Linked DNA regions of Diceros bicornis minor. The protein of the gene in region 2 interacts with the protein of the main gene of each other region in a pairwise test. Links are inferred from orthologs where the notes say so. Each region holds a gene or a part of one and is shown on either strand. Other genes may lie near its edges. The genes, in order: KANSL1, CEP70, MFAP1 and PSMA1.

Region 1 (7,311 bases), on a different chromosome or scaffold from region 2:
CAGCACCTGATCAAAAAGTAGAACATTGCCAGCCCCTGAGAACAATCCCCACTCCCAATCAGATGAAACTCCCTTGGCCACATACTGGCTCTCCTGACTTTTATTGTGTTCACTTCCTCTTCCTTATAATTTTACCACCTATCTATGCATCTCTAAGCAATGTCGTTTAGTTTTGCCTGCTTTTGAACTTTCTATAAATGGAATCATACTATATATACTCTTTGTATCTTGTTTTTTTGTGGGTCTTCAATAATATCCCTTTGTAAAAATTTATTCATGTTCCTGAATATAACCATAGTTTATTAATTTTCATTGTACAAATATAACACAATTTAACCATTTTATCCTTGGTAGACATTTGGGATGTTTCCAATCTGGGGTAATGAGGAACAATGCTCGTATGAATATTCTTGTACAGTAATCCTGACACTTAAAACTCTGCATTTTCTTATAATATATATCTAATAATGAGACTGCTGAAATAGAGCATGCATATCTTAAATTTTATTAGATTATATCAAAGTCTTTTCCAAAGTGGCTGTACCAGTTTACACTGCCATTAGCCTTGTACGAGAATTGCTGGTTTTTATTTATTGATTTGTAGGAGGTCTTTATGTACAGTATTATGGAAATTAGCCCTTTGTAATATAAGTAGCCAAAATTTTTTTCTGAGTTTACAATCCCTTTAAAGAGGCACTGATGTTCTTTCCCCCTAGAGGAATGAAAATGTGACTGGAAAAAGTGGAGTATTCTAATTTTGAAGGATTTAAATGAAAAATAAGTGTTCTGGGTTAACTTTCTTATTGCTCTTAATTTGCTGTTATATATGTCATTAATACAAATAATCATACCAGGAATTTTCATGGAATGCCCTGGAATATAAGATGCCAAATATAATAATAATGATAGTTAAAAACTGAATGTTTAGACTCTGTCAGGCACTGTTTCAAATCCACTCTATGTATTAACAATTTAATCCTCACAAAGACCCTAGGAGATAGGTACTATTTTTTGCACCATTTTACAGATATATGAAATCAGGAGCTGGATTGAAGGTGTTTTCTAGGGCTGATTTAAGCAAAATTAATAACTCAGAGAAAAGATTTTTTCTTAACTGATAAAGATGTTTTCTTTTTTTTTTTTGTAATTTTATTTATTTATTTTTTCGCCCAAAGCCCCAGTAGATAGTTGTGTGTCATAGCTGCACATCCTTCTAGTTGCTGTATGTGGGACGCGGCCTCAGCATGGCCGGAGAAGCGGTGCGTTGGTGCGCGCCTGGGATGGAACCCAGGCCGCCAGCAGCAGAGTGCGCGCACTTAACTGCTAAGCCACGGGGCCAGCCCAGATGTTTTCTTTTTATAATTTTTTTTTCCTTTTTGGGAATGAATGATACTCCATCCTGGGCTCCTTTTCCCCATCTTCTCTGTAATATACCTCATAGCTTTCTCTCTTCTTTTTTGAATATAGACAAGATGTATTTATCTTTCTTCCAACCCTCATTCATAATCCCTGTTCTTTGTGTCACGGGGGGCATCAGGCATCTGCAGGGGGGGACTGGGAACCAGAGAGTGCTCCTAGCAAGTGTGGAAGAGGAAGAGAGAGACAGAGATAAGGGGTGAAGGGCAGGGTCACATCCCGGTGTGGGTGTGTGGAGGGCGGGAAGGATGATTTTTTTAGGTAAGGTTTCTTAACCTGTGGCCCACAGATTACGAAATCTATGAACTTGGATCAGGAAAAGTAATATGCCTTTATTTTTGCTAAAGTCTAACAGAAAATTAGTGTTTCCTTCAATTACGGATGGAGACAACAAATCAAGTAGTATTAGCAGTGTCTGCGGTTTTGTCACCAATAGAAATCATATGTACTTTCCTATTATATGATAGTTGTTGAAGATATCTTATCTTCAACATATATTATCTATGCTCATTTACTTCCCCAAATTTTGGTGGTCATTAGGCCTGCCATTATATCATACTATTTAATACATCAATATAAAGCACATATATTATTACATCACACTTGAAAAAATATTTTGAAAATTGTATATATATTTTTTTTGGTGAGGAAGATCGGCCCTGAGCTAACACCTGCCAATCCTCCTCTTTTTGCTGAGGAAGACTGGCCCTGGGCTAACATCCATGTCCATCTTCCTTTGCTTTATATGGGACGCTGCCACAGCATGGCTGGACAAGCGGTGCGTCTGTGAGCATCAGGGATCCAAACCGGCGAAGCCCAGGCCAACGCAGCAGAGCGCGCACTTAGCCGCTTGCGCCAGCAGGCCAGCCTCTGAAAATTGTATTTTAATGTAATTGGTTTCCTTTGAATTCCTTTGTATGTGTTTGAAAACATTCTGAGAAGGAGTCCACATACTTTAATGGACTGCCAAAAGGGTTTGTGGTGCGAAAAAGTTAAGAACTCTGCTTTATGGGTATTTTGTTGGCTTTCGTTCTTATTTAATGAGCCTAAACAGGGCCCCTGAAGTGAGCCTCAAGATGGTGAGGCTCTCATAATTTTATTATTCTATTTTTCCAGAGACCTTTTCTCCCTGAACTTTCGTGCCTCTTCAATATTCTGTTTTTCTTACCTCACTGACCCTTTTCCGTTTCTTTTCATCCTTCTGCCTTTAACTGTGGGTGTCTCTTTACACGTCTATGGGGAGTTTATTTTTTAGCACGTCATGGATCACCATACTTAGGTGCAGAACCCTAAACCTTCCCTAGTCCAGATGGCTCGCCCTCTCCCAAGGTCCCCAACTCCAGCTGCTGCCGGCACATCTCTTCTTGGTTTTACCACTGGCTTCTGGAACTGAACATATTAAAAGCTAAGATTCCTCCCCAAATCTGCATGTTGTCTCACTTTGCCTGGACAACCGTCTTGTCTGTCCCCCTGGTTTTGCGGCCTTAGAATTATTTTAAAATTTAAATCAATTAATTAAAAGAAATTGGAATCTTTGTGAATGGTACAAAAATCAAAAGACACAAAAGGATATGCAGTGAAATGTAAGTCTTCCTCCCACCTGGTCCCCTAGACACTCAGCTCCTCACCCAGGAGGAAACCACTGTTGCCAGCTCTTAGAGGGATTTTTGATTCCTTCTTATATTGGCTATATCTCAAAGTCTTTCCCTGTCTGTGAGATGTGTACCCTTTCCTTTCCAGGCCCTCATGACCTTATATCTGGTTGACTTCATACATAAGTATTTGTGTGTGTATATTTTATATACATATATAAAATCTCCCCCTATGGCCTTCCGGCTCGAGTTTTCATCACGTCGCTTCCTGGATGAAGAACCTACAGGGCTGAGGGGCCGGGGTTGGGGGTGATGGAGAAGAGGATCTAAAGGGGACTTAGGTAGGGGGTTCGGAGTGGCAGATTGGTGGGAAGGTCTACCAGGATTCCTATTTCTATCCCTCCCACCTCCAGGCCCCTTCCAGTTCTCTCGTCCAAATGTCTCTCGTTCCCAAGAGCCGAGACAGAGGCAGAGACAGCGAGATATACAGAGACAGAGACGCCGAGGCACCAGCATCCCTCTCCCCCTTCTGTCCCGCCCCACCGCTCTGACGGACATCTGCCATCAGCCAATGGCGCTCACGATGTGCCCCGGAAGGGCCAATGAGAGACAGAGGAGGGCGGAAGATTCCCCGCCCCCACTTCTAGGCTTGGTTGAGCCGTGCAGGTAGGTCCGGGGCCGGGGGAGCAGCCGTTGGCACTGGTGCCCCTGGGGGTAGGGGCACGAGTCGGTAGGGGTGATGGCGGGGAAGGGGAGGCGGCCTCGACTGCGGGAGCCCGAGGGGGCGGCCCGGCCGGGAGGCGGGGTGCCGAAGGGCCCGGGGAGCGGGCGCCGCCGAGGGCCCTGGAAGCGGCTGGACTGGGGGAGCGGACGCGTGTGTGGGGCACGGGGACCCCCGCTCCGCGCCCACCCGCAGGCCTGGGCCGCGGGCTGCCGGCCGAGGGGCCAGGGGCCTGGTGCCCGGGGGGCGGGCTGGGCTGGGCCCCGGGCCGGGGGCGCCGAGCAGAGTCCGGGGCGCCAGGCCGAGCCGAGGTGGGACGGACCGACGCCGAGAGGAAGGGAAGCTGCATCCTGCGGGCCGCCCCTCCTGAAGCGAGCCGGGGCCACGGCCTCAGGCGCCCCTGCCCTGAGCCCACTCCCCCCGCGCCCCCGCCCTAACAATGGGCATGGGGCAGAAGGAGGCGCCCCTCTGAGGGAAGGGGGGGGTAGGTTTGGGACTAGGGTCCACGGTGGGGGGAGGGGTGGGAACTCGGGCTCTCTCCTTTCTCTTCTCTTGGCTTTCGCGGTGGGGATCATGGAGGGGCTGTTAAACCCTCCTGAGACTGGGGTCAAGAGTCAAACCACCCCACCCCCCCTGCAAAAAAAAAAAAAATCTGACGACCGGTAAGGAAAGTGATGCCAAGTCTTCGTAGCCGAAGTGACAAACGCATAGCAAGAACAAATCCACTCCAGAGGTTTTTATTTTTAATTTTTCTTAAAAATGAGGGTACTGTAGTCTTCGATTTTTCGAAATTTATTTTTCAGAGGTGGGTGCTGTTATTTTTGTCCCTACTCGGGCAAGCCTCCATTTTAAGCGATGCAGTAACTGGTTAAGCTGGAATTTTCATTCAGGCCGAGGACTTGAACAAGGATCCTACAAGAGGTCATTTAAGCCATCCTCCTACCTGCAGGCAAACTTGCCTTCCTCCCATCCTCAAAATTAAGTTGTTTGTTCTGCTTTTAAAGATCTCTGTCTTTTATTTGCTACTAGCACTTAAGAATAGATTTTATTTTTCACGTAGAATTCGACTCTGAAACAAGCTTAATAAAATTTAGGACAATTGGAATGATCAGAGCGGTTTTAATTTATTAAATAAAAATTAAACATGACAAGGGTCTTTCTTAAAAGGTCAGTTAACAAATGACTTTTCAATCGTGTTTATGAAGTACGCTGGATAATCATTTTTCTATCTGGGATAATGGTTTTCTAATTATTTGATAAGCAATTTTGTATTATCTAAAGTATGTGTTACACATTTAATCCACTTTTTATGTAAAATATATTTCTACATATATATGGAGATACACACACTTGCCCTTTCCCAAAGGGGACTGTTTTGTACATCTTTTTAGGATGGTGAAGGAAGTAGTACTTCAAATCTATGTCTAGATAGCTTAAATTGTTTGCTTATTCTTGATTATTTTTTAGTCTAAATGCAAGTCCTCTCTTTCAGATACCTTCTTGAAACAAAAAATTTTTCTACCTGCTCCTACTTCGTCACTGAGGGATTACTACAACTCCCTTCTTGCTCATTTCTGAGTATTGTCTGAACTATTCCTGACACTATGAATGCTATTTGGATGCCTCTTAAGGTAAGATGTGTTTTTTTAAATTAAAGGCCTCATTTTATTTCTTTTCCTTTAGAAATGAGAATATTCTCGTTCTTAAATTTGCAGTCCTTCAACCCTCTCACCCACACTCTTTTCCCCTGGAAAACTACTATTGTGTTTGCTTCCTAGGACTGATTGGCTATTCCTTACTTTGTATTGCTACTATTGATTATTGGTCTTAAAATATTAATGAAGTTCTCAAATTAACTTCATTATCATGATGTGTTTATTTTTTAACTTTAAATTGTGACATCCTGCCTAGTTGTACAATTCTGTTCCAATCTCAGTGGGATGGATTGGCAATTCAGACATCCAGGTCCACTTTTGAAACAGTCATAGGTACTAGGGTGTGTCCCACTCTTGCAAATCTGTAGCTGATTCATGTGTTACAAAAGATGTGTCATTAACCATTTGTTTACTCTGAAACTTCATATAGTATATTAGAACATTCTAAGATCTGTTGGTTTACATGTACAGCTCTTTTGGAGAGTTCTGCTGCTCCCTAGTCCTTTGCCTGAGAATTTACACTATTTTTCTCAACAGAGAGCACTTTGTGCCAAGTTTAATCTCACAGAGTAAACCTCTTCTGGGCAGTGTGGACAGATGATCTTTAGATGAGAAAGCTCTCATTGATGTGGTGGTTCTCCAGGCTCTTGGCTCCTTCCAATCTCTTTTATATAGATGGCCAAAGGATTCTCCAATAGGACTAAGCAGAGGGCAAAGCCTAAGACGTGTAGGGAGGAAAGTAGGAGGAAGGATGGAGAGAGACAGATAAGGAGTGATGGAGTCCTCCACCAGCTTCACCAGGTGACATGTGTTGCCTTTCTTTGGAGCTAGATACTAGTGTAGTTAAGATTGTTGTGTGTTAATCTGCCCTGTGGAATTCCAGATTAATGTAGTGAATAAATCAGACAATAATGCAGTCTGTGTCACTTAAATATTTGGACTGTGGGAAATCTTTAGGTAAATGCAGACTGAGTTCTCATCTTCATTTATGTTCTAGCTGCTATTGTTGGGTGATGGGTGCTTATATTAGTATAAGGGAAGCCATTCTCCCTGTAGAGTTGGAGGGGTTGCGTGGGGGAACCCAGCCAGAAGTCCTGAACTCATAGGAATTGGAGAAGCTTGCACGAAACTATTTTTCTTTGGTATCAGTGTTTAGCACCAGGACCTGGTGGCCTCTGTTCTCTTTAGGAAGCAGTCAAGAGGATATCAGTGGGTACTAGTTCCCTATAAACCCAAGGAATTTGGGATCAATATATTGGATTTTATTTTACAGTTTCCTTGGTTTTAATTAATGTATTAGGTACATAGAGGCCTGCTTTTTAAGATGAAATGATGTTTAAGATTTTTCCTCTCAGTCTCTGAACCTAGGGTATTATAATATAGTTCCACAGTAACTCCTGAAGTTGTACCAAAGGCCTCTGGCAAGGCAGAAATACAGAATGGAAGTCAGTACTCCATACTCTGTGAGTTGCTACCTGTTAACTACTTAACAATGTAGTTGTGTGGCTGCCTTAATTTTATGTTCCCTACCAATCCTTTGATCAGTGGAAGACCTCTTCTGAGTCTAAACAATTTTTTTATTTGCTGACATTTTCCTCCTCCTTTTATTCCTTAAAAAAACTTAAAAACTGTAGTGTTTGATCTGGGCAGGAAAAAAGGCACTTTTTTGAGAGAAGAGGATAGCGTAGAATTTACAGGGTGAAAAAAGGGGGAGAGCTTTCTTCTCTTTTTCAGTTGTGAATGTCCTTAAAATCTTTCTGAGATGTATTTTCAGTTTATAGCTACTTATTTTTAAGTAAAAAAAATGGTAGGCTAATTAAAATGTATACTTTGGAGCCAAAATGTTCATTTTCTAGTTCTTACTCTTTGTTTCTGATTATCTTATTTCAGAATGAACTCTAGTTCTATCAGGCATTACTTAAATGTT
Region 2 (7,631 bases):
ACTTCTTCCTTTTATTTTGATTTCTATTCATGCTGTTTAAAAAGCAAGTTCAGAATATCAGTTAACCCATTAACAGTTCCCTTTTCAAACGGAGGCCCAACGAAAACACGGACTAATGTGAATGAAAGCATTTTTAGCTGTTCTCTTAAAATAAAACACTGATGTCTATGGGTAAGTCGGTGAGAGGCAGTTTCAGAGGTTAGAACAGCATCTAGGGTACTTGCCAGGAAACAAGGAAACAATCTGACTGAAAATAAAGTCAAAAGCAGGATCAGGGGCAGCCCAGTGGTGTACTCTGCTTTGGCGGCCCAGAGTTGGTGGGTTCAGATACTGGGAGGCAGACCTCACACCCCTCATCAAGTCATGCTGTGGTGGTGTCCCACATACAAGATAGAGGAAGATTGGCACAGATGTTAGCTTAGGGACAATCTTCCTCACACACACACAAAAAAGCAGGATCAGCCTGGAAGAGTATGTTTTATACTCAAGTTTCACAGTGCTTTTTTCAGAATTTCTTTCTTTCCATAACAATCCTGTCTAGTAACAAGTGACTATTCCTGTCTCCAGTGTCCTAGGCCCAGGGAATGAGCAGGTGGACAATATAGCCCAAACTAGCATGTTCCTTAACTTCAGGTACCCCAGAAACTATACCCAAAGAGGAAATAGTGGCACAGAACAAGCCAGCTGAGGAATCAGACTGCCTTGCCTATTCTGGGTGCAGAATAGGCACCGAGGGGTAGGGTGAACTCCACTGCACTCTGGGGTCCCTGGGCAGAGGGATTCCCCAGGTCTCAAAGACAGGGCCCAGATTTTTCTTCAAGCACAATTAATACTTTTCTAATAATAGGCCCTGTTACCATGAACTTTTCAAATGCCACAGGCCCGCTTCCACATGCTAGCCCTGCAACTTCTGAAGGGCTCTGGGTCTCTCTGTAAAATGGGTGTAAATATTATCACTGGGCTCTAGTGAGCACCACAGGCCATCATATATAAGGCACATAGCAAGCATTCAACAAATTACACCTTATTGGTCTTGTAAAAGATATCCCGACTCCTGAAGTTTTGTAAGAAAATATGATTCTTCATTGAACAATATCTTTGAGCTGCCGCCCAACCAGGGTTTCCTGGTCCTAGCCCAACAACTCAGGATTGTTTTTCTGAAGAAATAAGGACTAGGAAAAAGGAATTAGGGAGGTGTCTTCAGCTAGCCTTGTCCTATCTCTGGAAATTTCCACTCTGGGGCCTTTTACTTTTCCCCTCTAATTCATTCTTTCAACAAGTATTTATTGAAAACTCTCTGTTCAAGACACCAGTGCAGAAGAAAAAAACAAATATGAAAAGTCTTCATCTTTGGGGAGCTTTCAATACAGGGTAGCAAACAAGAAATCAGGGCTCACTAAGCAGAATTCCTGTAACATAACTTGCTGAAGAATTCAGTCATTATTACTTTGCAGACTAACCAGTCTAACAACCTAATCAATAGATTGTTCCCTGTTATCTCTCAACTCTCCCTTCTCTCACACACTTGCTCAGCATCTAGAAACCACACCCACCCTACCGATTGCCAAGGTGAAATAATCCTTCTTTACCTCAACATCAAGCTGCAGGAAGCAACTGCACAATAGGGCCTGGATGCCCCTATGCCCCCAGATCCCCTGGGCCCTCAGAACCCCTCCAGAATCCCTTCACATGTCTCTGTTTTGTTGCTCGGCCCACTCTCCACGGGGACCACTCCCTCTTTCCTCAGATGGCCCACTCAACAACCTTCCTCCCTCTGTGCAGGGGACACTGTCCTTCATTCAATAATTTATCAGAGCCTCCTATGAGCCGGCACTGTGCAGACGTGGGAGATGGAAGAGAGGGAGCCAAGCGGCCACGGTGCCTGCCTTCACATACCTCAGTCTACTATTAAGTTACACATTAATCAAAAGTTACACGAATGATTGCACACCCTGAAAGGAACTAAGAGAATTCCAGGCGCTGCAAGTCTGAGGGGCCGGGATAGTTTTCCTTAAGAAATATTTCAGGAACAATCTCGACAACAAAAATGGAGGGTAACTAAGGGAAGAGGCAGGGAGGCGTGTCCAGGCAGAGGGAAGAGCACTTGCAGAGGCCCTGGGGTGAGAAGGAGCTCGCACCATGTGAGGATCTAAATGAAGCCGGCTGGGCAGGGGCTGCATCGTACACGGGGCCTCACGCCCACAAGGAGCTTTGGTCTCTAAACTAAAGGAGTAACCAGAAGCCATCAACAGGTTGCAAGCAGCGAATGCCGGATCAGGTTTGCCTGCTCCGAGGCTTCAGAGCAGGCCCGGGGGCTGTGTCTGCCCACCTGGTGTCCCCAGCGTCCCGCCCAGCGCCGGCGCTCGGCTGGTTCCTAGGGACGTCTGCCGGCAGGACGCCAGGACGCGGTGCGGGACTATGTTTCCGGGGTGGGGGTGGGGTGAGGCCGGGCCTCCGCGGAGGCAGCGGGCGGGGCTGGCGCGGCCGAGTGGCGAGGCGGCAGCGGCGGCGGCGGCCTGCGCCGGGCACCGCCGGGGCCCGGGAGCGCGACAAAGAGCCGGCGCGCTGGGCTGTAGCTTGCGCGGAGCGGCTGCCGCTCTCGGCGAGGGGAGCAAGGCCCCGCGGCCTACGGCGCCGAGTCTGCCCCTGCATTGCGGGGCCGGAGCCGCCCGCGGCCGCGGCGTGCAGGTGAGACCGCCCCCGGGGGGCGCGGGGGGCGCCCCTGGCAGCCCCCGCGCGCGGCCTGGGCGGCCTTCTCCGGGCGGCGGGGTGTGCGCGGCCCCGGGACCCTGCGGTGAGGCCCGCGCCCGCGCCCGCGCCGGCCGAGTTCCCGCGGCTCCCGTCGGCCGGCCGCGGGCGGGGGCAGCGGGGCGCCCCTCCCCGGCCAGGCCTTGCGACCGGCCGCCCCGGCCTCGGCCTCGTGCCCAACCATACGATTAGTACCTGTCGCTGTGGAAAAGCGGCGCAGAAAAGCCCGGGAAGGAAGCCCGGGAGCCGACCCCCTGCTCCCCGGAGACACCGGGTTACACTGCGCTGCGTTTCTTTCCAGCCCCTTTTTCCCTGTCAGCGTGAGCAGGCTATTTTTGCAGAACTTGGATTATAAAGTGCTGTAACTTGGCTTCTTTCTCTTACTAATCCAGCACGTGCATCTGCCCGCGGCTGTAAGTGTTCCAAGTCGTTTTTGGTGGCCGCGCTAGACTGCGGGCTTGTGTGCCCGCCTGACCGCCGCACCCTGCCGGCGCCGGCCCGGGCCGGGCGTTCAGTTTGTTGAGTGAAGGACTGTGATTTACTTAACGGAGTCCCTCCTTGATGGTGAACATAAAGGTGGTTTTCAGTTTTTAGCTTTTACAAAAAGCAATTCCATTGAGCACTGTTCCTTCTGCTGTTGGGGGCATGATTATTTGTTTAGAGTTAATCCCTCATAAAGCTTGTGCTATAGGTTGCAAAATGGTCCTCAGAAGAGTTTTTCTCGTTTTTGTACCTCCACTAGCGTTTGGGAATACCTGGCTCTAGGAGCTTCCTGACCGACTTTGCTGGAGGTCCCAGTGCTTCACGGGGGACCGGGCGTGCAGTGTCAGCACCCGTTTGTTGAAGGGGGACCTACCTGTGGCTGGCCTTACCGGGAGCTTTGCTGAAAAGGGAACTGTGAGCTTGTTAGTAATTTTAAAAACTGACTTGCGTTCAGCTTGGACAAACCACTGCAGTCCCCAGTACGGTTAAACCTAAGTTAAGGCAACATTCAAGCTGGGGTTAGATGAACAGTGGAAACGTGTTAATGTTTAAGTCGCACTCTGAAATATGGGTGTTGAGTTGCTAGGGAAGGGATTTTAAAAGATTATGGTGATGGGTACCTCACTAGATACTCAAAAAGCTTTCTTTGAAGACATGTAAGAAGTTTCAGATGAGTGACATTGTCCCCGTCAATCAAAATAAATGGAATTTGTTTTCCATCCTTTTCATTTACATTTTTAAAACTTTGTGCTAAAATAGAGGGAAGTTTTCTTTGTCCCTGTTTTCCAGTTTGGTCGCATGATCTTGAACGTTAAGTGTATGTATAGGAGTTTAAAAATGACAGTGGATTAATTCCTTTCTCCCAAGTTTTAAACCGAAGCTTTCCCTGGCCTTGCCACACATTTGGCAGGGCTAGGGTCCTTGCTCTATGGGCCACTCTGTCCTCTACTGCTCCCCTTTACAAGGACACCGCCATGGCTGTGCTGTAATTATCTTTTGGTCTCTCCAGAGTCCCTCACTCTGAGCTTAGTGCCCAGCTCAATGCCTGGCACAGAAGTGACCAATAACTTAGCGTGCTCGATGACCTCAGAATATGACATGTTTATTAAGTCCAGTTTGTAACTTGGATATCTGTGTGTGACAGATATTTCCCGTTTACATGAGTAAAGTAGAAATCGGGGGACAAGGACAGATGTGATCACCTCTTCGTTATAGGTGTAAGTACATTCTAAGAAACACAACCAGCGGGGCAACTAGGTCTTTTTTTTTTTTTAAGCAACTTTGTTGAGGTATAATTCACATACCATACAATTTACCTATTTAAAGCATGAAATTCTTTTTTTAAAGCATGAAACGTTTTTTGTATATTACAGTATGAATTTTTTAAGCTGTGCTAAAACATATATAACATAAAACTGCCATTTTAACCATTTTTAAGTGTACAGTTCGTTGGCATTAAGTACATTCAGAATGTTGTGCAACCATCACCACTGTCTATTTCCAAAACGTTTTTAACACCTGACGTGGATACTCCATAAATAAATGTTGGATGTATGAATGAATGTTGATAGTTTAGAGAAAATTAAAAAAAAAGAGATGTGATCTTGATTTCTAACTCCCTTCTAATTTGTTGTGTTGTCTTTTACACTTCCATATGAAAAGTTATAGTAATTAAGACGCTACCATGCCTTATCTTAATGTGATTTAGTAATATTTGAAGTTCCTTATAATGGAAAACGGGGCAATTCTTTCAAGTTTGAATGCTGCATTACTGAACTTTCTAGAATCTCTAAAAGTTGTAGAGCAAAATTTGAATAATATCCCTAAGTCCACTCTGATTTACAAAGGATGCCTTATCCAAGTTTATATTATGCTGTTTGGCTTGCTCTTTTGCTCTGTTTTCTCTTTGCTTTCACAGTTGCAGGATACCCTCCACCTTCATAGAAGATATCCTAGGGCTTCTTAAGACTAGAAAAATCCACACATTTGTAAGGTGCTAGTAAAAAAAGAGGGATTTATTTTAGGTACAAAGTGTTTTGAATCTTTACCTAGTTTTTATTCTAAAATTCTTAGCTTTTCTTTGCCCACTGGGTTGCTTTCATGGGTGCTAATCTGTTCATCTTTTTAAAAACCGTTTGTGGCTTCTAGCTGTTTCCAGTTTAAGAAAGTTGGCAATCTCTCCTTTTTAACAAGGCGAGAACACCCTTGGGCATCTAGAGGGAGAAGGCTAGAGTAGATCTTGTGAGCAAAAAACGGTTGAGCTTATTTTCCAATAGGTTTGGCAGGGGTACACCTGTTAATCCCAAATCTTCAAATGTGGAGAGTTTCCTAAGCATCTGAGTACATGTGTGCTTCTGATTTTAGTAAAATTTAATTAGCACTACAGCCCAGTTACTGTTTAATTAATTGCACAGGAGTCCTGGGCTCTAGTTCTGGCTTGGGCCCTGCTAGTGACCTAAGCAAACCACGTAACTTCTGTGGATTCCTTACTGGCACTAGTAAATTAAGTGGGCTTGAGTAGGTGGGTAAATTAAGCTTGCTCTTAGAAAGCAAACTAGCATATCCTTGGCTGCTTCCTACAAAATCAACATTTCTTTGAAGTAAAAAAATTTTTTAAATTATATATTCCTCCATAATATAGCCTTCCGAAATTTAGAATAAAGATTGCATTTTAAATTTGTTACCACCCTGTAACGTTGGTTCCTCCAGAAAATGCATTCTGTTTATCCTGGAGTTTTATGTATTCCCTGACCCACTGCCTCATACCCTTGGGGTTTCTTGTGCCTCAATTTGAGAAGCATGGGACCCAGAGGACTTGTCTCTTATGGCTCTGGTGTGGTGTAATACTTGAAATGAACTAGAGTTTATTCTCTAGTTTTGGGAAATTATAAATCCAAACTAGGGAAAAATATGATTGGCCAATTTGTATGATTTAACTTCTCTCCCTGAAAATTAGAGATTGCAATTCTGTTGTATGTAAAAGCTGTTTCATCAGAAACTACATGCAATTTACGAAATGGATTGCAACGTTAGAACAACCCTTTGCAGATGTCATCTTTGTTGCTCTCTTCTTTCTTTGCTGCAATTCTGCTTTTTTCTTTCCTGGCTGCTAATTGGATTAAAGACTATTTTGCCAACCATGGCATCTGGAGATGACAGTCCAATCTTTGAAGATGACGAAAGGTAAATGTCTTGCATTGCAATAAAACTAGCTTTTGAAACTTTCAGGATTGTTTTCATCGTTCAGAAGAGTTATTTATCCAGGCTGCTTTTTTAAGGACACATTTTGTAAGATTGCAGAATGCATGGTTTTGCTTTTCTGTGGTTTAGAACACTGTGTGGGAAATGCCTGGCGTGGAGGTGGCCACCACTAACGTGGCATCCTTTCCCACAGGACCTGGGTGTAAGGTCTCCAAATCCCTCTCAGCACAGAGTTCTTGGAAATCGCTTCAGAATGATATAAAATCCATTTACCATCTCTGATTTAGAGCAAACAAAGGAGATTAGAGTGAATGAAGAGTAGGAGTTAGTTGAGAGAACAGACTCTGGAGCCGGCGTCCTAGGTTTAACTCCCGTCTGCCACTTACTTGACACTGTAACCTTAGACAAGCCCTTAGCCGCTCTGAGCCTCAGTTTCCTCATTTATAAAATAGGGATAATAATAGTACCCATCTCATGGTGAGGATTCTATGAGTTAATATGTGTAAAGCTCTTGGAACAGTGACTGGCACACAGTAACCTCTTAATAGCTGTTAGCCATGATCATTATTGCTGTAATGCTACTTATCTCAACATATTAATTATGTATTATATATAAATATATGTTATATATAAACATATGTAGTTATATGTTTTATATAAAAATAGTAACATCAAAAATATGTGTTTAAGTTGTGCCAGAAACTTCTGACAACACAGAATCTTTTATTTTTTTAATACGATTTCCTATAGTAATGACAAGAATTACTGTTCTCCATAACATTTTTATCTCTATTATAGGATGTGTCTTCCATGACTTCTCTTTTTCTCAGTGTTAGTATAACAAATGAGAACGCTTTTTGTTAAAATGAATCCCTAGTCACTGGTTTAAGTGTGCAAGGTTTGGGGAGTTCTTGTTTTGGAGGGACTGGATCTGAAAAAGAAAAGCCAAAATTAAATACTGTGCTTTTTAAATGGAGGGAGGGAGAAGTACAGCCTTTTTATTGACCTTTCCAAGCGTTATTCTCTAGCCTAGCTTAGAATACTGTTGTGGGTAAACCGATAGATTCTTAATCCTATTAATATTAAGGTGACTTTGTTTGGAATGATCCAACTGTGCACCCATAGGGAGAAGATAGTTTCATGAACTGTGAGGACGGTTTCTTAGATAATATCACTTTAATATTTTGTAATTTTAGGGA
Region 3 (7,074 bases), on a different chromosome or scaffold from region 2:
AAACTTCTGAATCAGAAAGTCTGGTGGTGGAGCCCTGCAATGGAGTTTTAACAAGCCCTCCAGGTAATTCTAATACAAGCTAAAGTTTGAGAACCACTGATCTTATCCAATTCCCTCACCGTAGAGGTGACTAGCTTAAAGGCACAAGGTTTCTTAGAAGTGGCCATGCCTAAAACCTAGGCTTCCAATGCATTTATGACTTACCACACACTGTGCCACCACAGGTGCTAATCCTTACCTCTGGGACAATAAAGCATAAACTGAATTCCTATTTCATAATACCACCACCTCAATTATCCTATCTCCCTTTCCCTACCATCATTTTCTGTTCCCCTAGTTCCATCAACCTTTTTGTCATGTGGTAGGGTTTTATCTTGTCTTGCATAAAATTTGTCACTTTAAATGAAGTACAACACTCCTGGTAGGCAATCGAAGCCAAAGGAGTTAGATGCCTAATTCCCTAAACTGATTCTATTATTTTAAACAGAACTAATAAGTGTTTCTCGTGTATCTTCTCTACTCCATCATTTGTCTCCTTTTTGTATTTAATGGAAATATTATTCAGCACATCAATGCAATCAATTAATGATGATTTTCCTACCCTGACATCAAGGGTCACTCAAATGCCATATGTCCCACAGGCCAACTTCTGGTATATTGTGCATAAATACGTAAAGGTAAGCAAGATACCATAAAGTATGCGTAAACTCAAAAATATATGCAATAAACCAAGAGGAAGAAAAAGGGAAGCAGAGTGAAAATTAAGTTAATCCTTTCCTTGACAAATCAAAACCAAGAGCAAAATTAACTCAACAAAGTTATCTGTTAAACATTTAAAAAATTTTTCAATTAAACATAAATTAGATAAAACAATCTGCTTGAGCTAGAGAGACCTCTGATAACCTTCACTTACCAGAACTTCAAATTTTAAACTAAGAAAAATTTGAATAAGCTGGTATTTAAATTCTTACCAGGCCTGGTGTGGTATCTTCATCACTGTCTCCATCCTGACTGCTTTCCATATCAACACTGAGAATCACTGTATCTGAAGTGCTCTTGTGTCCTTGCTTGTTACTTTCAGTATGAACATCTAAGGATGATTTTTGCAGAGTGGATTCTGCCTTGGAAGATGTGGCTTCCATCTTTGGAGTTAAAATTCTTCTGCAAGTTTTCTTTATTTCAATCTTCTTACATTTCTTACACGCCACTTCATTGTTAGAATTCTTATCTAAGAGGGATTTGGGGCACTTAAGTTGGTCTGGTTTGTAATTACTGAGTGAAAAGGGGACAAGACACACCTTAGCTGTTTTTCCTAAAACTGTAGTCTGTACTGGCCTTGGAGATACAAAATCAATGTTTTGGTTTTCTTTATATTCATTCACCTGTTCAGGTCAATAAAGGAAAATGGAGAGTGTTAGAATCCCAGATCCTATGTCTTTTCTTACAGATCTGTGTAAATAAATCTCATTCCTATTTCATAATAACAACATAAATCCAAACTGATAGCCTGTAAGGAAACTTTTTTCCTCCAAAACCTAGATACTTAATTCATTAACCTGAATAGAATTATTTATTATACTGGGCACATTTCTTGCCCATATGAGTCTGCCAGACCAATAATAATAATGACTACAATTTGTATCTAAGGTGACTCTACCCCAACTGTCAGCTTCTGAGTAAATGGAATTGTTTCAAGAGTAGGAAGCTGACACTAACTGCTGCAAAAGCAAATGCAGAGTCCCTGATCCCATCCTGCCACTATTTCTGGGGTTACTGACAAGAACCTTCCTCAATGCCGCAGCCTACTCTCACAGAGGAAACCAGGGCAGGGATCCCCGCTTATCTTTTGAAGCAACACCCCGAAAAACTCTTTAAGCTGAGGGATGCCCCAAGCGGCGGGAAATCGTTTTGGAGTGAGGAGGTGCCGGGTGCCAAGTCCTGGTGCCCTCCCGGGCCTGTGCCCGGAAGATCCCTCTCGAAGACTGAGTCAGGAGCACACCCGAAAGCGACAAGCCCTTTCTCACCTTCACCTGGAGTCGCTGTCTGGAGCCAGCCTTCTCAGCCACCGCGCGCGACCCGGACATCTTTCCGCCGCTTAACAGCTGGCGTCTTCCCGCCAAGATTGCGGCGGGAGGCGGGGGTGGGAGGGAGTGGGAGGGGCGGAGCCCGGGCGGCGCCGGCGGGCGCTCAGATCCCAGCTGGCCGGGGGGGAGGGGCGACACGGGCGTTACCGTCGTCCCTTAAGGAGCCAAGCCTACCAGCCTCACCCCCAACTCAAATTCTTGAGGGACGCGATGGGACCGAATCGACATTTTTACCTTGGATGCCGGTGATTTTGATGTTGCTGACGCCAGTATCTCACTTTGAAAAACACTGGCGCTTCTGCTGAGGATAAGCCACCTTGCCTTACAACGTGAGGCTGGAAAAGATTCAGACGCACTTAGATGCCGGATAGAGAGCAAAGGAAATCGCAATCAACATGCAGCCCTTACCTCGGCCCCCTGGTTCCTTATACCACCACCAGGAAATTAGGCCCCATGGCTACCACATTATCTTATTCCTAGGAAGGGAAGTTTTTTTTAGTTTTTTTTCAAGAGCTGATAACTTAAGCTAGTTTAAATTTCACCTGATCATCTGTCCACCAGTTAACTAAGATCCTAATGAGGACCTTACAAAGCCCAAAGGCTAGGGAAAAGTTGTGAATCAAATAATTTTTGTATCACAAAGTAACATAAGATTTTAGTGCACTGTATTTCTTATAGTCGCAGCGATATTAAATTTTTTTTTCTATTCTCTGGGTTGCTGTGAGCCAAAACAATTGCCTTCCCATCACACTCCCTCTGGACAGCATAGTTTTGGAGCTGATAAATTCATAATATAAATTTCTATCTACTTTATTTTTAAGGTCCTTTTCTTTCTAGCCCAAAACTGCTCCCTTGGTTGGTTATCTGAGTCCTCCACTGTTCCTTTTATTTCTTCTGCCAGCCTAGGCTCAAGTTGAGAACACAAGTGAAATAATTTGAGAACTAATCCTATTAACAGCACCTTCAAGGCCCTACTTGATCTGGTACCTGCCAAACTTTCACCACTCCTTGACTCAAAAATTACTGATAAAATCACACTTTTCATGGTGTCTGATATATACGCTATTTCTGGACTTCAAGACTTTGCTCATGCTGTCCCTTCCCTCCCAACCATAGCAGTTTTAAAATCCCTTCTACAGTGAAATGTGTTCTGACTTCTAATTAGCCAATTTTTTTTATATAACCGAGCTAGTAATTGCGATTGCTTCTATTATGATTCTATAAGCCCTTGAAGACTTCCTAAATTAAATTAAAGCTTCTTGAGGATACGAGCCTTTTAACAATATTCGTTACTGCTTACAGAGAGCTAAGCACAGTTAACACAGCAAGTACTTAATAATTACTCAAAGACTTATATACAAACACTTCCCAGCCAGGAATATATTTTAAAAGGTGGTCTCCAGAAGCGGAAAGAACCAGAAAGCCTAAAAGTAGAATGTTCGGATTTCAGGCGTTGACTCAGGCCCCCTGGGGGATTTTTTTTCTTTCTTTCTTTCTTTCTTTCTTTTTTGCCACTGGCCTAAATCACCGCGACCTGCCCTCGCGTGACCAAAAAGTACCGCACCAAAACCCACTCAGCCTCATCAGCTAAATTAATCAGACACTATTAGCAGGATTTCTATTCCGATTAAACTCTAATTCTGAGCTTTCTACAGTCTGGACAAACTGCCCTTCACTATCTCCTCAGTGTCTTATTCATCACTATCCCATTTTCCTCGGCTTCAAACCAAGCTAACAAGCGAAACCTTTCATTCGGACCTTCCTCGCCGCAGGGTCTTAACCGCAAAGCCCAACCGAAGCAATTTCCCGCCACAACCGACGTCCAAATATGTACTTCCAGACTGAGGACGCTAGGGCAGCCTATGAACATGCGCAGTAACAGACTCGGTGTTCTAGCGGTAGTCGCCCAGAGGTCCTCCACAATCCCACAATCCTCTGGTCGCATATTTCCGGTTTTTCTAGCCCAGCCGTAAGTGGCGTTTCTATCAGTCCCGCAGCCGTGTCTAGCGGCTCTAGGCTGGGAGGTGTTTTCTGTTCGTTGACGTTGAAGCTGTTCGCTGTTTGGAATCAGTAAAGTTTCGGGAGTCACCGCTGCTGTCGTCAACATGTCGGTCCCAAGCGCACTCATGAAACAACCGCCCATTCAGTCTACGGCTGGGGCCGTCCCGGTTCGCAATGAGAAAGGTACTGTGCTGAGCCGTTTTCCAGTCGGGTCTTGCCTCTTCCTTCCTCAGCGTACTCCAAACCTACCCCGGGCCGACCACCCCAACCCCACCGACCCTTAAGACCCTGCCCCCTATTTCTTCGACTTTCCCCGTCACACTCGCACCCGATCACGTTGCCTAGGGTAAAGAAAACCCACTTCCATCTCATCTTGTTCCTATAGCCTGTCTGCCCTCACCTACAGCAAGCACCTATCTTCCCTTGGCCTCCACCAATTCGTTAGACTAACATATATAGTGAATGCCTGTTGTTTGCAGGGATTTGTGCGGGATACAGTCCCTCTTTTTTTTTATCCATAGCAGTCTGTTTATGCTGCTTTTATAACTCATCGTTATAATTATTTATGTATCTGTCTCTCGTACATCATAAGCTCATAACCTCCTTGAGGCAGGAACTATGTCTTATTAAACTTTTTATCCCTGTCAGCCAAGGCAGTGACTGTATTTATTAAATTGAATACAAAGTTGTGTAGGACAGTCCCCCTAACCTTAAGGAACTCGTATTCTAATAGATGTGAGACATGCAAAAAGAGGCACATTCTAAACAGTGTACAGTCTTTCACACCTGTAATACCTGTCACTAGGTGATATAAACCAAATACTGTGGGAGGGCAGAGGAGGAATAATCTCTTCAGATTGGGGTAATCAAGGAAAGCTTGAAAGAAAGGTGGCATTTAAGTTGATCCTTAAAGGACAGATAGGATTCCAATGAGTGCAGATGGAAGAAGGAACACCGTTTCTGTTTGAGGAGTCAGAATAAAGAGTCAGGATTTTTTCATTAAGGGTTTTGGAAAATAATAACAGTTCTTACTTTTGTGTTTTTTGAATATACTGAACCCATCCTTGTGCAGCTTGCCTTTTTTTTTTCTTTTAACTCAGCATGGCGTTTGAGAAGTATCCTTTGGATACATATGGATCCAGTTCATTCAGTTTAATTGCTTATAAATTCCATTGTATAATTAAACCACAGTTTATTCCCTACTGAGGGACAGTTGTGTTGTTTTTTCTCCTATTACAAACATGCTGCAATTGTCATTCTTAAATGTGTCTCTTTAGTGCACTTGTATAAGAATTTCTCTAGGGTAGACTCCTAGAAGTTCATCTTCAATTTGTTGCCAGTTGCTCTCCACAGTGGATTGTAAGAGCATTAGGAGTTTTTATTTCTCCATGTGTTTATCCACACCCTTGGTTATATCAGATTTTTTAATTTTTGCCCAGTCTAATGAGTGTGTAACGATATCTCATTATTTTAATTTACATTTCCCTGATTTCTAGTGGGACTAGGCATCTTGTTCGTGCGTTTATCCACTCTCTGGGTTTTCTCTTCTATGAATTACCTGTTTCTGTCATTTACCTGTTTTCTATTTGTTTCGTTTTTTTTTTTTTTTTTTTTTTTTTTTTTTTGTGAGGAGATCAGCCCTGAGCTAACATCCGCCAATTCTCCTCTTTTTTTTTGCTGAGGAAGACGGCCCTGGGCTAACATCTGTGCCTATCTTCCTCCACTTTATATGGGACGCCGCCACAGCATGGCTTACCAAGCAGTGCGTCGGTGCGCGCCCGGGATCCGAACCAGCGAACCCCGGGCCGCCGCAGCGGAGCGCGCGCACTTAACCGCTTGCGCCACCGGGCCGGCCCCTTTGTTTCGTTTTTATACATCCTAAATCTGTAATATCTATTTCCCCAGGTTTTTTGGCTTGTTTTTTAACTTTAGTTATGGAGTCTTCTGTTACACAGGCATTTTTAGTTTAGTGTTATCACATTTATCAATTTTATCTTTTATGGTGTGTGCTGTTTTGTATACTGTTTAAGAAGTCCTTCCCTACACTGAGATCATAGACATTCAGTTTTCTATCGTCTGAATGTTTGTATATACTAAGTAGGATTGAATACACAATTGTGCAAGACAGACTAAGTTAAGGAGCTTACAGTCCAGTAGGGATGTAAATGTTTAAGATAGGTTTTTCACACTTCAGCCTTTAATCTATCTGGAATTTTTTGTGTGTATGGTGTCAGTTAGAGATCTAATTTTACCTTATTATCTTAGAGTTAGCCAGTTGTTCCTACTACTCCATTGTTTGACTAGCCTATCCATTCTCCATTGCTTTTTTTTTTTTTAAGATTTTATTTATTTCTTTATTTTCCCCCCAAAGCCCCAGTAGATAGTTGTATGTCGTAGCTGCACATCCTTCTAGTTGCTGTATGTGGGACGCGGCCTCAGCATGGCCAGAGAAGCGGTGTGTCGCTGCGCACCCGGGATCCGAACCCGGGCCGCCAGCAGCGGAGCGTGCGCACTTAACCGCTAAGCCACCAGGCCGGCCCTCCATTGCTTTTTAATGTCACTTCTGTAATATAGCAAGTTCTCATATAGGTTGTTTCTCTGGTCTCTACTTTGTTCCATTGGTCTCTATGTACCCCGAGTCAATGACATATTGTTTTAATTCCTGTGAATTTAAATAAGCCTTGCAATCTGATACAAAAACCCTCCCCCCCACCTCACATTCTTATTCTTTTTTTTGTTACAACTTTATTTTTTTAGAGCAGTTTTAGGTTCACAGCAAAATCGAAGGGAAGGTACAGAGATTTCCCATATACTCCCTACCCCCATACATGCATAGCCTCCCCTATTATCAACATCCCCCACCAGAGTGATACATTTGTTACAATTAATGAACCTACATTAACACATCATAATCACCCAAAGTCCATAGATTACATTAAGAATCACTCTTGGTGGTGTACATTCTGTGGGTTTGGACAAATATATAATG
Region 4 (7,175 bases), on a different chromosome or scaffold from region 2:
ATATTTTAGAGAAACTGGGTTAAATAAAACGTTTGACAATGCAACATATTTTACATTTTCAAGAGCTGACAGAAACCGATAATGCTGTCACTATATTGCTGACCTAAGACAGCAGGAGGCTTGCTAGATAACTTGAAAATCTTAAACATTAGCTTTACTACTTGTCCTTAGTGTTTATATTCTTTCTTCCCTAATGAAATCACAGACTTTAAGAGATTAATTTTGGCAAATGACCTCCCACTTCCCAACACACACACTCATATATTACCTGAAAGGCACTATGTTAAGTGCTCTATGTGTTAGGCTATTTAACAATGACCTTGAAACAGAAAAATACTAGAAAAATTGAGAGTTTAAGTAACTAGCCCAATCTCAGATACTAAGTGGTGAAAGTGGGAACTAAACTCAATCTGCATGATTTCAAAGCCCCAGTTCTTCATTTATACACCGCCTCTCAACCAGAAATAATCTCTATCTCCTCTGGCCTCTCACAGAAATCTACCTGTTACTCTCCACTTTCTACTTTGTATTATAGATACGCTACTAGATTTTGAGTTCCTAGAAGACAAGATCTATGTCTGATTCACCTTTGTATATCCTGCAGTATCTAGTACTGTGCTTTATGAAAAATAAATGTCTAATAAATACTGGCATATTAAAGAACGCAAAGGTAGTTCGGCTGATCCTTAGAAACCAGACAAAAATGTCAAGCTCTTCTTAGACATAACATTGTCTCAAACAATATATAGTGAGTTAACAAGTATTATTCAGTGACTTCCTAAAAGCTTTAATATTAATACAGTCAATTCTATTAGTTACGACAGGGATCAAGAAATGGAATACTTAGTAACTGTCCCCAAATCCACTAACGTATTCACAAGCTTAACTTACAAACACTCTGGCAGTCAGCTTCCTAAAATATCTTATCTGGATCTTTTCAAGAAATGTAATCAATTACGAATCAAAAAGGGTATTTCTTTTGTTTTTCATGATCATACTCACCACAGCAGTCTAGCATCAGCAGTAAGTCCCGCAATTGAGATACCAATATGGTTGTCAACATGGAGAATTTTTTTCTGATGAGCTGCAAGCTCTGACTGTGCTCTCTAAATAGAGATGTCATAAAACACAAAAACAAGTTTACAATTTTATTATCTATACAGTGAAACTTACATTTGATAGTTCTGTTTTCTAAAGGAGGAAGATATATTTATTGCTTTACTTACCTTCAATGCAACCAACACTGCATGAGTTTTCGATTTCAGACCAACTGTGGCTGAACCCTGTTTGACAGCTTCCATTGCATATTCAATTTGATGAATCCTGCCCTAAAGAGAAAAAAACCACACATCTTAGAGTCATCTTATAAGACGCTTTTATATATTTAAAGTTAGAGTTCCCAAATCTCAGGTGAGCATAGTTAAATCTCAAATGATTTTTTTTTTAAGTAGGAAACTTACTTTAATGATAAATTTAGGTTCCAGGAATGTCTAAAACAGTTATATTTCATTTTCTCCCAACCTACAATGTCATGAATTTATAAACACACTGCAGCTACCAAAAGCTACTTCATAGAAGTAGTATAAAACATTATTTTACCTGAGGGCTCCAAACAGTGACATCGTTGTCATACTGGTTGCGAAACTGAAAGTAAAAGAAAAAAGACCCATTAATACAAGAGCATTACAAATTCCAAATCTTAGCAAGCTCTATCATTAAAAAATGGTCTCCCATCTGTTTCCACTCAATATTAATGCAAAGCTGTTAATGCAACCTCACTGAAGATTACTACTGCACTCAGTTGCAAGCCAATGCTACATTTACCATGAGCTAATGGTGGGGGGCAGATCTAAATGGCACCTATCTTCCCACTGCCAATTCTACCAGTGTTCACAGCACTCCTTTTGGGTGCAGTTACTGAAGTTCATTTGCATCAACTGTCCTTCCGTTCTTTGCTTATGCTTTTCCTTTAGACTGGGCCCTAATAAATGGTCAAAAGCATTCTCTTTCCTTAAACTAGCTCAAATATCTATCTCTTTAAGTCTTCTCCATCTTTTCTCCCAAAATCCAACGCATACTCCCACCAGTTCTTTATCTACATGTTCCTTTTTACCGTATATTATGATTAGGGACATGTCTGATTTATCTTTGAACCCTCACTGCACTTAAAACAGTGCCTTGTATAAACATTCATATTGAATGAATAAACACAAGAATATCCTCAGGAAGTTAGAGGTGGACACAAATACTATAAGACAGAACCGTTACTGCTTTAGTGACCACATTAAAACAAGTCTCCAGCACAGTACTTGGGAGAATGACCATGGGGATGAGAAAGCTGAGGTGCTGGAAAGGTAGACATAGGACAGGAAGCCCTGAGCCCTAGACTGTAATCCTCATTCCATTACTTTTCTCAGCCTCGGTTTACTCATCTGTAAAACCAGGTGACTGGACAAAGTGACTGAAAACGGCCTTTTCTGATCGAGCTCTGGAGGAGAGAGATATCAGACAAGCCCACCAGGTAAATGGACGCGGTCCAGGAACCCAACCCCTGGGTCCGCACTTGGCAGTACAGGGAGGCCTCTTAAGTCAAGTCCCCATTTTCTCCCCTCTCTCCCACACTGAGCACGAGGGGTCACTCTGGACCGCTCAGAACGTACTCCACTGAAGGAACGAACTCCGCTAGTACACCAAGAACGTGGTGTCCGAGGCCCGGTGGAAAGGGAAACAAGCCCGGGGAAAGGCCGCACCGACTACCGACCGCCCCTCTCCCGGCCAGGCCAGAGATGCTGAATCACTGCCGGAACCCTCCCGTCGGCTGAGGTTCCCATGCCCCGTGGCCCCGGGCCGCTCTAAGAATGACAGGAGAGACGGCTCGCCATCCCCCAGTCAGCGGACCTCTGCCCCAACCCTGCCTGGGCTCGGAATCCGACGCACCATGGCTCCGGCGCGGGCCTGACTGCCACCTCCTGCAAAGCTGCGGATCGAGGAGCACCGCCGAAACTACCGCTCGGCGATCTACTGAGAAGTCTGCGGGATTTTGACGGCGGCGGCGCAGGCCAGAGCAGTCTATTCCAGAAATATCGATAGGCTTTCAGTGCTCCCCCGCCCTCCAAGTTCTCGGCCGTCTCGATAGTGGGCGGGGCCCCGGAAGATGGAGGAACTGATATTGGCGGGAAAGCTTGGACCAGGAGTGCCCGCTAGGGCTAAGAGCTGCGGAGCGGCCACTATCAAGTCACCCTTTTGGATCCTCGGAGAAATTACCCGTGTGTTGCAGATTCCCGCCAGTTTTCACCGACTCAGCCGGATCCGCCTGAAATCGCTCGAGACGACAGCTGCGACTCTGGGTGACGGACTGGCCGCTCACCCTCTCATTCGGCGTCCACAGAGATTTGGCGTGTTGTGTGTCTGTGAGAAGAAGGAGACCGCAAGAAAAGCTACAAAATAATGGACCGTTTCTGTGTGTCAGCCATACCCTTCCTTGAGTATCTTGTTTGTGCACATGCTTTTCTTTCTACTTTGAAATCCTTTCACCCACTCCCTGGAGAACTCATCTTTCAGGGCTTTGCTGTCGTTGATCACTGTTTATCGCTATTATTGGTTTCCCCCCACCAGACTTAACTCTTTGAGGGCACTAATGTCTTTCTGTGCCCTCAAAACCAAGCACGATGCCTGATATACTAGGCTACTAAGGAAAAAAGTTGACATTTTCTTCTGAAACACGCATTTTCTCTTTTGAGAGTGTCTTTTAGTAAGTCCCAAATGAAATAGTTTAGGACACTCTGCAAACAGCTGCCCACCTAATATCTACCTACTGCCAATGACTTATTTTCTTTACAAAGAAGAAAGGATGAGTAACTAGACGCCGGAAAGGTAAGAGTTGAAAGCGTCCTTAAAGATCTAAGTTTTGCAGATGAAATAAGAGACCCAGATCACTTAAGTGATTTGCTCAAGTTCCGAGCACTTTAGTATCTCACTCTTTTTAAACCTTTTCGGTTATATATTTTGGACATTTTTTCATGTTAAACATTTTCCAGGTTAAACATGACTCCCTAGTATTCTGCGTTATGAACATATGATATTTTATTTAACCAAATCCCTATTGTTTAATATTTAGGTTCCCCCATCCCTGCTTGATATATTTTTTTGTGTACATCTATACTCCTTTCTTTAGAATAAACTCCTAAACATAGAATTTTAGGGTCAAATGAAATGGATATTTCTAAGGCTTTTATAAAAAGTGCTAAATTGCCCTCCAGAAATGTTTTACCAATTTATACTCTCAACAGTAGTATATGAGAGTGCTCTTCTCCCTAAATTCACCAATACTGGTTGTTGTCATTTTTCAAAATCACTGTTAATTTAGTGGATTAAATGAACAGATTTAAATTAACAGATTGTTCTCTTTTGTTTCCTAGCACCTAGCGCAATGCCTAGCACATATTAAGTGCTTAATAAATACTATTAAATGAATGAATGTTGAATGAATGATTAATAAATGATCCTTTAAAAATGATTATATAGTAAACATTCTTTTCTACATATCTCTATATATTCAAATGCCTCACACATTGTGTATAATAAATATATAACTCTTTTTACAAATAAAATCATACTAGACTGTTTTATACTAGACTTAAAAGGTTATGGCCACCTTTTCATGTCCATAAGTAATGATCTGTATTATTTTCAATAGTTGCCTAGTATTCCATTGTGTAGAAATACAATAATTTACTTAGCAATGGGTGAGCAATTAGATTATTTCCAAGTTTTTGCTGTTATAAAAGTACTATAATGAATATTCTTGTACATGCACACATGTTGTATGCTTTCCTGATTACCTCCTTATGATGAATTCATAGAAATAGAATTGATGTTCAAAGGGAACCCAAATTTACAATTATGATAAATATGGCTAAATTGCAAAAAAAAAGTTATATCAATTTATTTTCTACAGTGCCTGAGAGTCCACATTATACCTTCACCAATACTGGATAGTAAAAGTACTTTTTACCTTTATCAAGTTGATAGGCAGGAAGAGAAAAAACCTCTTGCTTTAATTTTATTTGTATTTTTTGATTACTAGTAAAAAAATCTTTTCAGATATGTTTTGGCTGTTTATGTTACTTTAGTGAATTGCCACTTCATTCCTTTTCTCAATTTATGATTGTGTTAATCATTTTCTCACTGATTTGTAGGAACTCCCTGCCATTAGGGATGTTAACCTCTTATTACTGTGTTACTTTTATAGAAAGAGCCTGTTGGATACAAAGAAAATAAACCCACTGAAGCTAGCTCAAGTAAAAGTGGAGGGGTGGGGGTGGGGATATTGTAACTATGTAACAGAAAATCACATAAACATCCAAGGATAGGAAATTTCAACTTTTATTTACTGAAGTATTCCTAGTGCCTGGAACAAAGCCTGACATTATAGTAGGCACTCACTAAACATTGGTTGAATGAATGAATGAATGAAAGAATGATGCATCTCTCACTCTAAAACCTGTCCTTTTGATTATTATCTCCTAAGCACATATCTGGGGCTTTGGGATATATCCTTCATTCACAGTGATTGGCTAGCCTCTTCAGAATGGCTCTTTTCAAAGCTCCTCTTGTAAACCATCAGAAGGGACATTTTTGGCCTTTTTGTCAAAAGGGAAGATCCTAAGCACTTACTAAAGATTTTAGATGACTTTCAGCTCCTCTATTCATGTTTTGGGAATTTGGCTCAGGATACATTTTGGTCCTTAACCAGGAGCTGAAAAATTGATCAATAAACATATTTTTTAGGAAGACTGGGTCAGCAAATGTAGCACTACTTCTTTAATTTAAAGGTCATTGGTAAGTTATATCAGACTTTTTTAGAATCAAATAAAAATAAATTCTAAATAAAAGGCAAGTTGAAAATTTTTTCCCGTGGACATGTAAATCTCATTGTGTTACTCTGTTTAGCAACTGTGTTTGGAGTGTTGAACAAATGAGTAGGGTGTGATTGCAAATAACACTCTTTTCCCAACACAAGTTAAAACAAACCCTGTGGAGTTAATTTTTCCCTGATCCTTGGATGAAATATGGCACAAATATCATGACTCTTCTGACATTCAAGTAAAAAAAAAGTTAACTAGTCAATTCAACAGCCTCAGATCAGTAATTAATAAGTTCAATATAATAATAAAAACTTTAGGGGCAAAGCCCCTTCCCTCCCCCAGCTTGACCCTGCTACCACGGCAAAAGGGGAATGCTTGACTTCCTCTCTACGTACTTGCCTAAAATTTCTCCCCTAACGCCCCCTCTCACCACAACTACCAGCTGGGTTGCCTTACTTCTCCCTAGTTGAAACAGAGGAAAGAGCAAGAGTGTTCTTAACTTGGCTAGTACAGTTCTGTGATTAAGAGTTGATGCTCTCTGAGCTTAGCAGGTGTTTACACTTGACCCTTGTTACTTTATGTATTCTTTGGAAACACCTCCATCCTCACCTTACCCCCATGAGCAAATACTGGCAATCTCTCACTTGCACTTGGGTAAACACATGTCATCTGGCCTTTAGCTCAATGTCAGTTGCTAACATCTGTGGTATACACCTCCAGCTTCGTTCTCCGCAGATCTCCTCATGCTTCCACTTGATTGCCTTCAGTGGCCCGTATCTAATCCAAAGAAACACCCACAGAGTGGCTTTGCCTCACGCCTCTGGGAGTGTAGACTTGGGCCAAATCTAAAACTTATCTTTCCAGTTAGTCAGTCAAAATTTCTTGCTGCCTACGTTTCACTAGAATGTTAGCTCCATGAAAGCAGGAGCTTTTCATTTATTTTGTTTACTGCTGTAGTCACCTGTGCCTAGAATAGTGCCTGTACTTAATAAGAGCTACATAAGGATTGAATGAATGATTTCCTCAGATATGAGCCAGACGCTAATCCTCTATGACCCCCCCACCGACACCCACCCCCAACTCTAGAAGTCATTTATCAAAGTTCCATTAAAGCCTCTCCCTAGGCCTTAGGAGAGGAAAAAGCAATGTCAACACATACCACACCAAAAACCCTCTCAAAATCTTCAATTTTTTTCTGACTTAAAAGTGGGTAGACAGTTGAGTTGCAAAAGCAGCACCCCCCCTCATTCAATTTCTTCTTTTGGTGGTCTTCCACTTTACTGTGGAATGTGGGAATAGTTGGTGCTT

The links.
Region 1: the proteins of CEP70 (region 2) and KANSL1 interact in binary tests that used the Homo sapiens proteins (3 or more experiments, as listed by UniProt). The two-hybrid records come from large-scale screens. The link is inferred for Diceros bicornis minor from reciprocal best matches to the Homo sapiens genes CEP70 and KANSL1.
Region 3: the proteins of CEP70 (region 2) and MFAP1 interact in binary tests that used the Homo sapiens proteins (3 or more experiments, as listed by UniProt). The two-hybrid records come from large-scale screens. The link is inferred for Diceros bicornis minor from reciprocal best matches to the Homo sapiens genes CEP70 and MFAP1.
Region 4: the proteins of CEP70 (region 2) and PSMA1 interact in binary tests that used the Homo sapiens proteins (3 or more experiments, as listed by UniProt). The two-hybrid records come from large-scale screens. The link is inferred for Diceros bicornis minor from reciprocal best matches to the Homo sapiens genes CEP70 and PSMA1.

Annotation. Positions count from the first base shown.
Region 1 is NC_080757.1:44,760,557-44,767,867, reverse strand, and holds the start of KANSL1 (KAT8 regulatory NSL complex subunit 1), read left to right. Parts: upstream 1-4,294; 5' UTR 4,295-5,360; intron 5,361-7,311. UniProt on the Homo sapiens protein: Non-catalytic component of the NSL histone acetyltransferase complex, a multiprotein complex that mediates histone H4 acetylation at 'Lys-5'- and 'Lys-8' (H4K5ac and H4K8ac) at transcription start sites and promotes transcription initiation.
Region 2 is NC_080741.1:14,631,559-14,639,189, reverse strand, and holds the start of CEP70 (centrosomal protein of 70 kDa), read right to left. Parts: upstream 3,017-7,631; 5' UTR 2,944-3,016; intron 2,689-2,943; exon of another isoform or gene 2,526-2,688; intron 2,409-2,525; exon of another isoform or gene 2,180-2,408; intron 1-2,179. Other genes in the region: FAIM (fas apoptotic inhibitory molecule 1), read left to right, coding at 6,248-6,414.
Region 3 is NC_080744.1:41,112,238-41,119,311, reverse strand, and holds the start of MFAP1 (microfibrillar-associated protein 1), read left to right. Parts: upstream 1-4,069; 5' UTR 4,070-4,189; coding exon 4,190-4,268; intron 4,269-7,074. Other genes in the region: WDR76 (WD repeat-containing protein 76), read right to left, coding at 972-1,382, 2,025-2,084. UniProt on the Homo sapiens protein: Involved in pre-mRNA splicing as a component of the spliceosome.
Region 4 is NC_080746.1:72,487,348-72,494,522, forward strand, and holds the start of PSMA1 (proteasome subunit alpha type-1), read right to left. Parts: upstream 3,021-7,175; 5' UTR 2,941-3,020; coding exon 2,938-2,940; intron 1,645-2,937; coding exon 1,600-1,644; intron 1,329-1,599; coding exon 1,227-1,328; intron 1,107-1,226; coding exon 1,003-1,106; intron 1-1,002. UniProt on the Homo sapiens protein: Component of the 20S core proteasome complex involved in the proteolytic degradation of most intracellular proteins. This complex plays numerous essential roles within the cell by associating with different regulatory particles.